Linked DNA regions of Macaca mulatta. The protein of the gene in region 1 binds, or shares a complex with, the protein of each later gene. Links are inferred from orthologs where the notes say so. Each region holds a gene or a part of one and is shown in the gene's direction. Other genes may lie near its edges.

Region 1 (3,536 bases):
GAGTCATTGCTAGAGTTTGCCTTCCAGAAAGAAAATCCATTTCCCACTCGTGTCTTTCCTGGCTGGGGGAAATAGTGTGCCTCCTTCATCTTTGAAGTCAAAAAGTACATCTGACACTTCCTCATAGTTGCGCAAGTACTTTGATCAGATCCCTTGAACCTAGTCCACTTCCCAAAAGGAAGGCATTGCCCACAGGAACCCCATCTGTGCATGGGCTGAAAGGGCTCCATCTGCACCATGTCGCATCTTCCCTGGGTAGGTGAAGCCGAGCAGTGACTGTACCAGCCTGGGCACTGAAGGCCTGCAGGCAGGCAGTGGGTCCTACGGAAAACTCAGTGTGGCTTCTTTTGCCTTTGGTGCTGCCTGCTTTTGTTTATTCTGTCTGCCTCAGTGGTCACCATACCCACTGTACTTTATTCATGTTTAAGGGCTTAAAGAATCAATCCCGAGTCAAGCTGAATATTGTGAGATGTCCTCCGGTCACCACCGTGTTAATCAGAAGACCAGACCTTCGCTACCAGCTGGGTTTCAGTGTCCAGAACGGAATTGTAAGTAGAACACCTTCCACATCCTTTTCCACAATGTTGACAAATAAAAATGTAGCATGGCCTTTGATTTTTTTTTTTTTTAATTGAGATGGAGTCTTGCTCTGTCATCCAAGATGGAGTACAGTGGCACTATCTCAGCTCACTGCAACCTCCACCTCCTGGGTTCAAGGGATTCTCCTGCCTCAGCCTCCTCAGTAGCTGGGACTACAGGCATGTGCCACTCTGCCCAGCTAATTTTTGTATTTTTAGTAGAGATGGGGTTTCACCATACTGGCCAGGCTGGTCTTGAACTCCTGACCTCGTGATCTGCCTGCCTCTGTCTCCCAAAGTGCTGGTATTACAGGGCCTTTGATTTTCTTTTTTTTTTTTTTTTTTAAAGTCAGTTTGTTCCCTGAAGGAATCCATCAAGAAAGATGGATGAAGCAGGCTCAGCTCCCTCTCTGGACAGAGTCCCTTCAGCAGAGATTCCCGCCCAGAACCCAGCATTTCTGTGACATGCAGGGCTGTCCTCCTGGCTGCTAGCTTGAGAGTTTGGGATGCACCCTCCAAGAGCCTCCTCGCCTCTGGGCTGTCCACCCAGGCGGCACAGAGTCCCCGCAGAGCAGCTGACTCCCAAGCCTGGGGTTGTGCAGTGCAGGGGCCGGCTCAGTTCCCACAGTCACAACTGGGATTCACACAGTGTGGTGTTTGAGTGATCATTCAAACCTTGGGCTTCAGGCGAAGCCAGACGGATTACTTAAGGCCAGGAGTTCGAGACCAGCCTGGCCAACATGGCAAAACCCAGTCTCTACTAAAAATACAAAAATTAGCCAGGTGTGGTGGCGGACACCTGTAATCCCAGTTACTCAGGAGGGTGAGGCAAGAGGATCACCTGAACCCGGGAGGCAAAGGTTGCAGTGAGCAGAGATTGTGCCACTGTACTCCAGCCTAGGCGACAGAGCAAGATTCTGTCTCCAAAAAAAAAAAAAAGTGTCCTAGATAATTAAAATATCATTCCAAATACATTTTAAGGTTTAGAAATACCCTTGAACTTCCCATTTGGAGTTGAAATATCCAGCCCCACTTCCTGCATTCTTCGTACCTGAGTAGCCTAGTTTACTTATTAGGAGAGGACCTAGGCTGACTCTTTACAGTCTAGCTCTGAGATCATCTTTTCATTGGTTTGCACTTGTACTTGTTTGCTTTGTTCATAGTTAAATAGTATTAAAAGTTTGGATATGAACAAGGAGTCGTTAACACCTGTGGGTCCATTGGGAAAACACCTAAGGCATGTTTTGACCCCAGACTAGCTGAGAGAGCAACTGGGCCACACACTCACAGAATGACACAGCATGTTGCTGCCAGATGTCACTTGCAATCTTGTCTGCATCCACTTAAAATAAAGGTGCATGGTCTGGAATGAAAAGCCAACTTAGTAAATTCAGACCTACTCTTGGGAAAAGTTATGTTGCAGTGTGTGTGAGGTGAGGGTGGAGGGCCCATCAGCCCCGCCTGCAGCCTCGGGTCACTGTGGTGGCTGACTGTGCCATCACAAAATCCAGCCTCACTGTCGTTTCTGTGGGAAGGGAGTTTGAACAGGGGCCGCTGAATTGGGAAGCTCTAAAGGAGCCTCTCCCTCCCAGCCAGCCACACTTTGGAACACAGAGGTGGAGTTCCAGCCCCACGGTGGCTCAGGCAATTGTGACCCTAAAAACAATCTGCTGCATTAAACACTTCGGTGCTTGAGTGCTTGAGTCCCAGTCATGACTGCGGGAACTAACACTAACCTGCGTCACACAGGCTAACAGTTTGAAAACACTGGCGACTCTGCGACAGGCCCAAATGGCCCTTTTTACCCAGCCCCAGCTGGGATGAGAAGTAGAATTCAGTGTGCTGTAAAAACCAGTGATGTGCTACAGTCTCTGCGCAAGCCACATGAACAAGGTGGCCATGTGGACCAACAGCACCTATTCTTTTGTGAAAAGACACTAAGAGAGTTAAATGCCCAAAGCCTAACCATGTCAGTTTCTCCAAGAGCAGAGTGCGGGGGCGGGGCTTTCGGGAAAGACGGCCTTCCAGCCCTGCCACACTCTCTGCCATGAGGGTAACACAGCCTTTGACTCTGGCAGATCTGCAGCCTCATGAGAGGGGGAATAGCTGAGAGAGGAGGCGTCCGTGTGGGGCACCGGATCATTGAAATCAATGGACAGAGCGTCGTGGCCACCCCCCACGAGAAGATCGTCCACATTCTCTCCAATGCTGTTGGGGAGGTAGGAGAGATCCAGGGCTGGGGGTGGTGCTGAGGGCCGCGTCTGGTGCCCCTTCCTCATATGCCCACTGTGGCCCTGAGCAGTCCTTCTAGGAAAGCTCCCTGAGTTTCCAATCCTGAACACTCCCCAACGAGCAGACCTATCTGTCTCTGACCAAACGCCAAACACATTTGCAAGCGGTTGTCCGGGAGCTTCTCCATGAAATGGAATCAGGTCACCCTCAGCCTTGTCTTTCATCTGATGTGCTCACCTTCTCTTTTCAACACTCAGCTTTCTGTTGCTTTTCTGTATGGTTGCCTAAGTTGCCTCCATTTTCCCCAGTTAATCTCCCCAAATGTATTTAAAAGATTTAACTCTTAGACTCAAGTCAAATCAACAAAGTGGCCCTCCAGAGGTGTGACCCCAGTGCAGTGTGGCGTGACGTGTCATCACTGCTGTCAGTCATCACTGCTGTCAGTCAGTCATCACTGCTGTCAGTCAGTCATTACTGCTGTCAGTCATCACTGCTGTCAGTCAGTCATCACTGCTGTCATTCATCACTACTGTCAGTCAGTCATTACTGCTGTCAGTCATCACTGCTGTCAGTCATCACTGCTGTCATTCATCACTGCTGTCAGTCAGTTATCACTGCTGTCAGTCATCACTGCTGTCATTCATTTATCACTGCTGTCAGTCATCACTGCTGTCAGTTATCACTGCTGTCAGTCATCACTGCTGTCATTCATCACTGCTGTCAGTC
Region 2 (4,084 bases), on another chromosome or scaffold:
ACCATGCCGGCTATTTTTTTTTTTTTGTATTTTCGTAGAGACGGGGTTTCACCATGTTGTCCAAGCTGGTCTCGAACTTCTTTTTTTTTTTTTTTTTTTTTTTTTTTTTTGAGACGGAGTCTCGCTCTGCCGCCCAGGCTGGAGTGCAGTGGCCGGATGTCGGCTCACTGCAAGCTCCGCCTCCCGGGTTTACGCCATTCTCCTGCCTCAGCCTCCCGAGTAGCTGGGACTACAGGCGCCCGCCACCTCGCCCGGCTAGTTTTTTGTATTTTTTTAGTAGAGACGGGGTTTCACCGTGTTAGCCAGGATGGTCTCGATCTCCTGACCTCGTGATCCGCCCGTCTCGGCCTCCCAAAGTGCTGGGATTACAGGCTTGAGCCACCGCGCCCGGCCGGTCTCGAACTTCTGAGCTCAGGCTATCCGCCCCCCTCAGCCTCCCAAAGTGCTAGGATTACAGGCGTGAGCCAGCGCGTCCGGCCCCAGTGATCTTAAAATACAAATCTGAGACCCAACCTAGGCGACAGAGCGAGGCTCCGTCTCAATAATAATAATAATAATAATAATAATACAAATTTGAGTGTCATATTTTACTCTTAGGAGTTTGCATGAAGCCCCAAATCCTCAAGGCGCATATGCCAACGCAGGAGCCCAGGCATAAACTGTATCCTGCCGGCCTTTTCACCTCATCATCAACCAATCCTAACTCTGCTTCCAGCCCTGTGGACTCTTTCTGCGTGGTGGGGGTGACCCAAGCTCCACCTCTTGTTCATCTTACCTCCCAGGACTGTATGTCAATGTCCCTGCTCTAGGATCTCCTTCGTCTTCTAGATCCTTACCTCCCCACTCTCAGCTCTCATTACAGCCGTGGCTGGTGGTCTACCTCTCCCATAGACTGGAAGCTCCGTTTGGGCCGTGGGCTTGGCTGCCCTGCTCACCACAGTGTCCATGCCTTGGGCCCAGATGTTTCACAGGAGTTTGTTGAATGAATGTGGGAAAAGAATGGACAGGGGATAGACAGGTGTGGAGGGCAGGCAGACACTGATCCTGAAAGAGAAACACAGACCGAACCTACAACGGGAGGAGTCGCCAACAGGACCGACGGGCCGGGACGGAGGGCAGGGCCGCGGGTGGCGCGCGGCAGGGGGGTCGGGACAGTCCGGCGCGGGGGAGCTGGGCGCTCTCCAGGCTGCGCCTCCGCAGGGGGCGCCCGTGGCCCGGGGCGTGGCCTCGCGCAGCCCCGCCCTCCTCGCCCGCGCCGGGGCAGGCGGGCCGCTGGCAGCTGTGGCGCCGACATGGCTGCGCTGGTGGAGCCGCTGGGGCTGGAGCGGGGTAAGCGCGCGCCAGGGGGCCCTGCCCACCCGGGCCGCGGCCTGCATACCCAGCCCCCGGTCCCCGCCCTTCCCAGGCCAGGCCAGTGCGGGTGGGCCAGCGGACCCGGCGGGGTGGGCGGGGCGGGCGCCGGGGCCGGGCGGTCGCGGGGTGTGGGAGGCTCCCTGAGCCCAGGCCGGGGCGGGGGGCGCCCGCCTTACACCCCGGCCTGTGGAGGGGTCCTGGGGCTGCAGGGCGCCCGGCTGGTGGCGGTCTCTCCTGCGCCACCCTGGACTCTGCGGGGTGTCCGACTGGGCTTCGGCGGTCCTCCCTGGACTGTGCGCTCGGCCTCACTCCGCCGCTCTCCTTGCTTCTCTGCGTCTCGGGGTCTCTGCGCCCCGCCCCCGCCCCGCAGACGTGTCCCGGGCGGTTGAGCTCCTCGAGCGGCTCCAGCGCAGCGGGGAGCTGCCCCCGCAGAAGCTGCAGGCCCTCCAGCGAGTCCTGCAGAGCCGCTTCTGCTCCGCTATTCGAGAGGTGAGCGGCGCGCGGCGCAAGGGCGCGAGCTGGTGGCCGCCGTCCTCTTCCTCCTCCTCCTGCTAGTCCCGAGCCCGGGGACTACGCCTCCCGGCAGCTCCCGAGGCGGCCAGCCTTGGGGTGCCCACGCTTCAGCTCAGTGGTTCTTCGGGAGTTGTAGTTTCCTCCGGCTCCGGTTGCGGGGGCGGGGCGGATCCTTGCGTGGCAGCGGGAGAGGGTCTAGGGGCCCGGACTCCTGCGTCTAGGGCTGGAGGAACTGGCAGCTCCCTGATGCCGCTGCCTCCTCACCCAGGTGTATGAGCAGCTTTATGACACGCTGGACATCACTGGCAGCGCCGAAATCCGAGCCCATGCCACAGCCAAGGTGGGCCCCGCACCTCATTGCTCCTGGTGTCTATTTAACTGCCTGGTCGAGCTCAGTATCTCCTTCATGCCAGTCATTTCTGTTTCCTCCCTCATGATTTTTGCTAAATCTATGTGCCACTCTTACCATTATTAAATAATCGCACATTTTTAACTTAAATGTCATACGAAGGCGTCTTTAGCAACTGCAAATGGAAACCAGTGTGGCATGACTGGCTAGAAGATAACCTTCAACATCTGTACAGTGAAACCAGGGAAGTCATGGCGCTCTGATCTCTCACTGCACAATAGTGAGATGCTACCTCTTGCTGCTGCCCAGAGGCTCGGATCTCCCTCCAAGCCTGGCTTTCATCTGTTTAAAAGTAAGATTGCGGCCAGGCACGGTGACTCACGCCTATAATCCCAACACTTTGGGAGGCCGAGTCAGGTGGCTCACTTGAGGTCAGGAGTTCGAGACCAGCCTGGCCAACATGGTGAAACCCCATCTCTATAGAAATACAAAAAAAAAAAAAAGCCGATCGTGGTGGCGGGTGCCTGTAATCCCAGCTACTCGGGAGGCTGAGACAGGAGAATCGCTTGAACTCAGGAGGCCGAGGTTGCAGTGAGCCAAGATCATGCCACTGCACTCCAGCCTGGGCAACAGAGCGAGACTTCATCTCAAAAAAAAAAAAAAAAAAAAAGATTGGCAAGTATGGGGTATTCAAGACACACACCAAATGGACACTTTCTCTTGCAAGTGAACAGAAAGGGACGCACAGTCATTAAAGGGGGATCTTGCATTGTGCCATGGCACGTGTCCCATGTTTGGGGATAGTAACCCAGGCTAAATCGCTGTCCTCGGTTCAGATCCCCCACCCCAGCCTTCTTGCCCACCTGGCAGGGGCCCTCATCTTCAGTCGCTTTCTCTCTCCCAGGCCACAGTGGCTGCCTTCACAGCCAGCGAGGGCCACGCACATCCCAGGGTAGTGGAGCTACCCAAGACGGATGAGGGCCTGGGCTTCAACATCATGGGTGGCAAAGAGCAGAACTCGCCCATCTACATCTCCCGGGTCATCCCGGGGGGTGTGGCTGACCGCCATGGAGGCCTCAAGCGTGGGGACCAACTGTTGTCGGTGAACGGTGTGGTGAGTGGAGGGCTGAGGCAGGACTGCGGGACACAGTCTGTCTAAGGTAGCATAGCCCCTGCTTTTGACATTCACTCAACACACACTGACTGAGCTCTGCCTCTATGGCTAGCCCTGTGCTGGCCAGTGTTACAGACCCTGAGAGATGTTGGTCTCAGCTCCTACACTCAACCTTCCCTCTCTGGGGAGGGCAGTAGGCCTCGGCTGAAATAGTCCTAAGCCAGAGACATAATAATGAGGAACTGCAAAGTACTGTGACAGCCCAGATGTGGCACCTGGCCAACATACATACAGGAAAGTTTTGCAGAGTAAGGAACATTTGGGTTGGGTGTTGAAGGATGAGTAGGAGTTCTCCAGGCAAACAAGGTAAAGGGTGTTCCTGCTGAGGGTACTGTAGATAAGGATAAGGACTTGGCATACCTCTGAGCTGAAAAGAAAGGGCTTAGTTCTGAGGGAGGTCTGGGGCATGCAGGTAATTAAAATCACTGTGGTTAGGCAGGCTGTGGTGCCTCACACCTGTAATCCCAGCAATTTGGGAGGCCGAGGCAGGTGGATCACTTGAGGTCAGCAGTTCAAGACCAGCCTGGCCAACATCGTGAAACCCCGTCTCTACTGAAAGTACAAAAAATCAGCCGGGCGTGGTGGCAGTCATCTGTAATTCCTGCTACTTGGGAGGCTGAGGCAGGGGAATCACTTGAACCTGGGAGGCAGAGGTTGCAGTGAGCCGAGATAGTGCCACTGCATTCCAGCAAGGG
Region 3 (4,334 bases), on another chromosome or scaffold:
ATTTGTTTCCTCATATGACAGAATCTCTTTGAGGTTGAATAATATTTTCACCGTATGACAGAGGAGGAAACAGGATCAGTGAGAAATTGTGTGACTTCTGAAGAGCACATAACTAAGACTCAAATGTCAAGACCAGCATTCTTCCTTAAATACTAAATAAAAATAAGCATATTGAACTACTATTTTAGGTTTGTTTTTAGGGTCTGTTAAGTCTATATATGGCCAATCATCTTTGGCTTTCCCACATTGGTGAAATGTTGCTTTTTAAAATTCAATTGTAGACTATAAAATGAAAAAGACCTTCAGAAACCATATCTGTAATCAGAAGAAAATGGCATCAATTATATGCAAATATTTTGCTATAAAACTGTATCTGCCTTTTAGAGTTTATTGCTAGCCCAAACAATTCAGCTCTGTCACAGGGAACAAGATGGAGGCAGCTTTGTCATTTCCAATCCTGCACCCACAGTCACCCCTATTCAGCTTATAGAAGGTTTCTTTATGTCAGGAAATGAATCCCTACTATGACAAGATAGTGAAAGTAGCCTTTTTATTGGGGCGAAGAGGTCACAGTCAGTATTTGAAGGCTCTTGTAATTTAATCCTGATCAACTGGCTCTAAAGTCAAGCTTTTAATAACACCATCTCCCACTAGATTACAGGCTACAGGAAGTCAGAGACTAAATTGAACTCCTAAATCAAGGCGTGGCACAAGGCAATGTAACTCTTCTATCTCAATTCCTGGCATATTTGTTAATCAATAAGTGACATCTCTGACCCACTGGTTAGAAATCAACATGAAAAGTGCTAGGCACATATTTTTCAAACTAAGTGATAGACAACCAAAATCAGTTTGGACATTAAGAGCAAAGTTTTTGTTGAGTGGCTGGGCGGGAGTGGGACATGTTTACAAGACGTGGTATGTAAAAAATTTGGAGAAAATCTGAACACTCTACTTGTTTCTGAGCTACATTTACTGAATTGGTAATGTATTAACAGTGGCTTGAAAAAGAAAAGAAAACTTAGGGATAGAAACTTACCCCCATGCTTTTTATTTTGAAGCACTTCTAAGAGGTTTGCTATATTTTTTTTTTCCAGGCAATATACTCAGATCCTAAATGAACATCTACTGATGGAACTCTGGCCTTTAGTCAGTTATCTTTATATGCCGTTATAGGTCAACATTCCGAAAAACTTCAACAGAAATTAACTGCAAATGTAATTGCATCCCAAACATTTCTGACACTGAAGCATTTTCTCTCTAAAGGAGATGGGATTATTGGATTGGCAATTTCTCTTAATCTGAGAAAACTCATCTCCCACTCCCTCCCCCATATCCCCTTTCTATCCTCTCTCTTCCCCTGACACACACGCACACGCATGCACACACGTATATTCTGACCATTTTATTAGAGTGGAAAGTTGAAAGAAAGCAGTCCGCCAGCTACACCCACCCAGTGCTCCTGGGGGTGGAATAGCAAAGTTCCAGGGCAGAGCCTTCCCTCCCAGAGCCCGGCGATGCAGTCGCTCTCGGATACCTGCTCAGCTCCGCACCGCAACTGAAAGATCTGCCGCCGCGGAACAGTTGCCTCTCCATCTGGCTACCAACCCACCCAAGCTTTCTTCTCCACCACCACCACCTTCTTTCTTCCCCCTCCTCCCCCTCCTTTCCGTCTTCCCTCTCCACCCCCGCCCCCAATCTCCTCCTTTTTTTCTCACTACGAGCGGTTGCTGATGCTGAAGCCGAGCGTCACTTCGGCTCCCACGGCAGACATGGCGACATTGACAGTGGTCCAGCCGCTCACCCTGGACAGAGGTAAGGGAGCGGCTCGCTAGCCAGGCCACCGCGTCCCCTCTCCCCTCCGCCCTCCCCCGCCTGCCAATTCCCACCGGGACACGGGACGCGCTCGGGCCGGGGGAGAAGGGGAGCGAGGACGAGCCAGGAAGACGTTCGCGCCTAGAGCAGGACACTTTCTTCCCTTCTCTCTCCCCGCTACATCCCCGCTGCCCCTTCCCACTGTACTCGCCCCGCCGAGGGGACTCCTCCTTCTGGCTCTAGGGTCCCCGCTGCCACTCCCAGTCCCTCGCCGGGTCGTCTCCGGGCCTCTGGCTTTGTTGGAGCGGCTGCTTGGGGACGGCTAGGCGCCAGGGGCTCGGGGTTGGAGAGGGGCAGAGAGCAAGCTCGCCCGGCCGGAGCCCAGAGGAGACCGGCGAGGGAGCCGCCTGTCAGCCTGCTCGGCGCGGGGGCGCGGGAGGAAGGAAGTTTGTCCAGGCGCCGGAGGGCGAGGGTCGGTCCAACTGCTGGAGTCAGGGCGGCCGCTCGGGGGGCGGGCTGGGCGCACCCCGGGGCGGCCGGGCGCACAGTGGCGGGGCTGCAGCAGGCAGGTAGCTGCCCTCCGCCGAAAGGGCAAGGCAGAGCGCGGGGAGCCGAGCCCCAGCAGCCGAGTTCGGCTCTCCCCGGCTTCGCGTTCGAAAGCGGCGAGGGTCGCGTCTGCTCCCGCCGCCGGCAGCTCCCAGTCGGTAGCAACTCTCGGCTTCTCCCGCGCCAGCCTCTCTCGTCCTCTCCCAGCTCTGTGCCACCGCGGCGCCCGGGCTGCGGAAGGCGCGGGGACAAAGCGCAGGTCGGGTTAAAATTCAACTTCTGACCTGCGACCCAGTCAGTCCTGCTCTCTGACCCGAATGGGGAAAGTGTTCTCTTCCTCCCCAGGACGCCCCCACCAAGCTCAGGGATGGAGACCTCTGCTGCGATCCGGGCCTCGCTGGTGCACCCGCGCGGGGTTATACCTGTCCCTGAGTGTATGGGTTTCCTTCCTGGCTTCCAACGTCCAGTGATGAAGGCGCTCGAGTCCCACGGCTCTGCAGAGGAGGACACCCGCTAGTCCCTCTCCGCAGCCGCCGGATTTAGGACCCTGGGCGGCCATTTGGAAATTGTGTGCTCAGAAGAAAAATGATTTAGTCCGATGTACCTCTAAAAATTTTCTTTCTAGAGGATTAAACTGAACGGTGGGGCAAGGCAAAAGAGCATCCTGCTGGGAGTACAGTGACAAAGCCAGTGAACTCAGTTTGAGGTTTTTAATTTGAAGAGACTGTGGGTGACTTTACGCAATCTGTTGGCGCCAGAGCAGATGTTATGTGGTGCCCATAGCAACCTTTCTTAGGATAAGAGTTGAAAAATAAAATGTAATTGATTTTATATTAGAAAATGTTGATTTGCAAGCTGGCAAAATTAATAACAGTAGTTAAAGACCTCAGAAATCCATTGTATAATCCATGATCTTACCCACAATATCATCATCTGCACTAAGCAGGATAAATCCATTGCCGGTAAGAACCAAACAGATGGCAAGCTATCAGAAACTATGGGCTTCCCAAGTATTTATGTTTTAATGTGATGTGCTCTTATATTGTCCCATTACAAAATCACAGTCATTAAACATCCCAAACCAAGTGACTACATTAGGAGCAAAAACTCCAAGAAGATTGCATACTTGAGTCATTTTATATACTACCACTACTACTACTAATAAAAATATTTCAATGTTTGGTTTTTACCCTAGCCCTTAGATGCCTCAGTCAGTTGTTGAGAGGAGGTGCTAATCGGACTAAGATTTATTCTTAAAGTTTGTTCTTGTTCACAACCAAACTCTACTTGTCCTTCTGAGTGTGATTACGCCCATGGAGTAGCTCAGGAGGCAAACAGGGTTACCCTGTGGATAGGTCTGAAAAAATTCACCAGCAGCTCATGAAAATCTATAACCAAGAGATGATGGGTTATTGGCATCACCACTGAGCATAAAGTCAATATAAATAAATAATTGTTCTCTGTACCTTATTAAAATATGATTAATTGATTACTTTCATTATTAAACTGATGAAAGAAAAGGTTCTAAAAATTTCCCTGCAAAAAAAGGTGCATTTTAAAAGAGGCAGCCCAGTATTACATATCTGGGTCCCAGTTGTAACTCTGATACTCACTCTGCATATATGAGCCTCTTTGGACATCAGATTCTCTCTGTGCCACATCAGGAGTTTGAATTAGATGATTCTAACACTGTGCAGCTTTAGCAGTCTATAATTCAATTAATTAGAGTTAGGACTCAGTTTTTGGTCACCTACTGGGAGATTTTCCAGATCACCTCTCTCCCAGGCTGCTTTGGTACCCTTTGATATGCTTTAAATTGACTTGCTGCTTTGGCCCCATTAAAGCATTTATCACACTCTGTTGCATTTGTCTCCCTATTGGATGGAACTCCTTGAGGGAAGAGACCATTTCTAAATTCATCTTTGAATTCTCAGTGTCTGCCATAGTCCCTGACTCACAGTACAATAAAAAAT

Evidence for each region.
Region 2: APBA1 (region 1) and LIN7B share a complex: the UniProt entries of both Homo sapiens proteins name them as parts of the brain-specific heterotrimeric complex. The link is inferred for Macaca mulatta from reciprocal best matches to the Homo sapiens genes APBA1 and LIN7B.
Region 3: APBA1 (region 1) and LIN7A share a complex: the UniProt entries of both Homo sapiens proteins name them as parts of the brain-specific heterotrimeric complex. The link is inferred for Macaca mulatta from reciprocal best matches to the Homo sapiens genes APBA1 and LIN7A.

Annotation. Positions count from the first base shown.
Region 1 is NC_133420.1:100,467,891-100,471,426, reverse strand, and holds part of APBA1 (amyloid-beta A4 precursor protein-binding family A member 1), read left to right. Parts: intron 1-428; coding exon 429-548; intron 549-2,656; coding exon 2,657-2,797; intron 2,798-3,536. UniProt on the Homo sapiens protein: Putative function in synaptic vesicle exocytosis by binding to Munc18-1, an essential component of the synaptic vesicle exocytotic machinery. May modulate processing of the amyloid-beta precursor protein (APP) and hence formation of APP-beta.
Region 2 is NC_133424.1:61,566,301-61,570,384, forward strand, and holds the start of LIN7B (protein lin-7 homolog B), read left to right. Parts: upstream 1-1,254; 5' UTR 1,255-1,292; coding exon 1,293-1,329; intron 1,330-1,723; coding exon 1,724-1,842; intron 1,843-2,134; coding exon 2,135-2,206; intron 2,207-3,119; coding exon 3,120-3,329; intron 3,330-4,084. UniProt on the Homo sapiens protein: Plays a role in establishing and maintaining the asymmetric distribution of channels and receptors at the plasma membrane of polarized cells.
Region 3 is NC_133416.1:88,057,986-88,062,319, reverse strand, and holds the start of LIN7A (protein lin-7 homolog A), read left to right. Parts: upstream 1-1,521; 5' UTR 1,522-1,733; coding exon 1,734-1,815; intron 1,816-2,022; exon of another isoform or gene 2,023-2,137; coding exon of another isoform or gene 2,138-2,592; intron 2,593-2,736; coding exon of another isoform or gene 2,737-2,920; exon of another isoform or gene 2,921-4,334. Other genes in the region: uncharacterized protein LOC114670904, read right to left, coding at 2,138-2,592, 2,737-2,920. UniProt on the Homo sapiens protein: Plays a role in establishing and maintaining the asymmetric distribution of channels and receptors at the plasma membrane of polarized cells.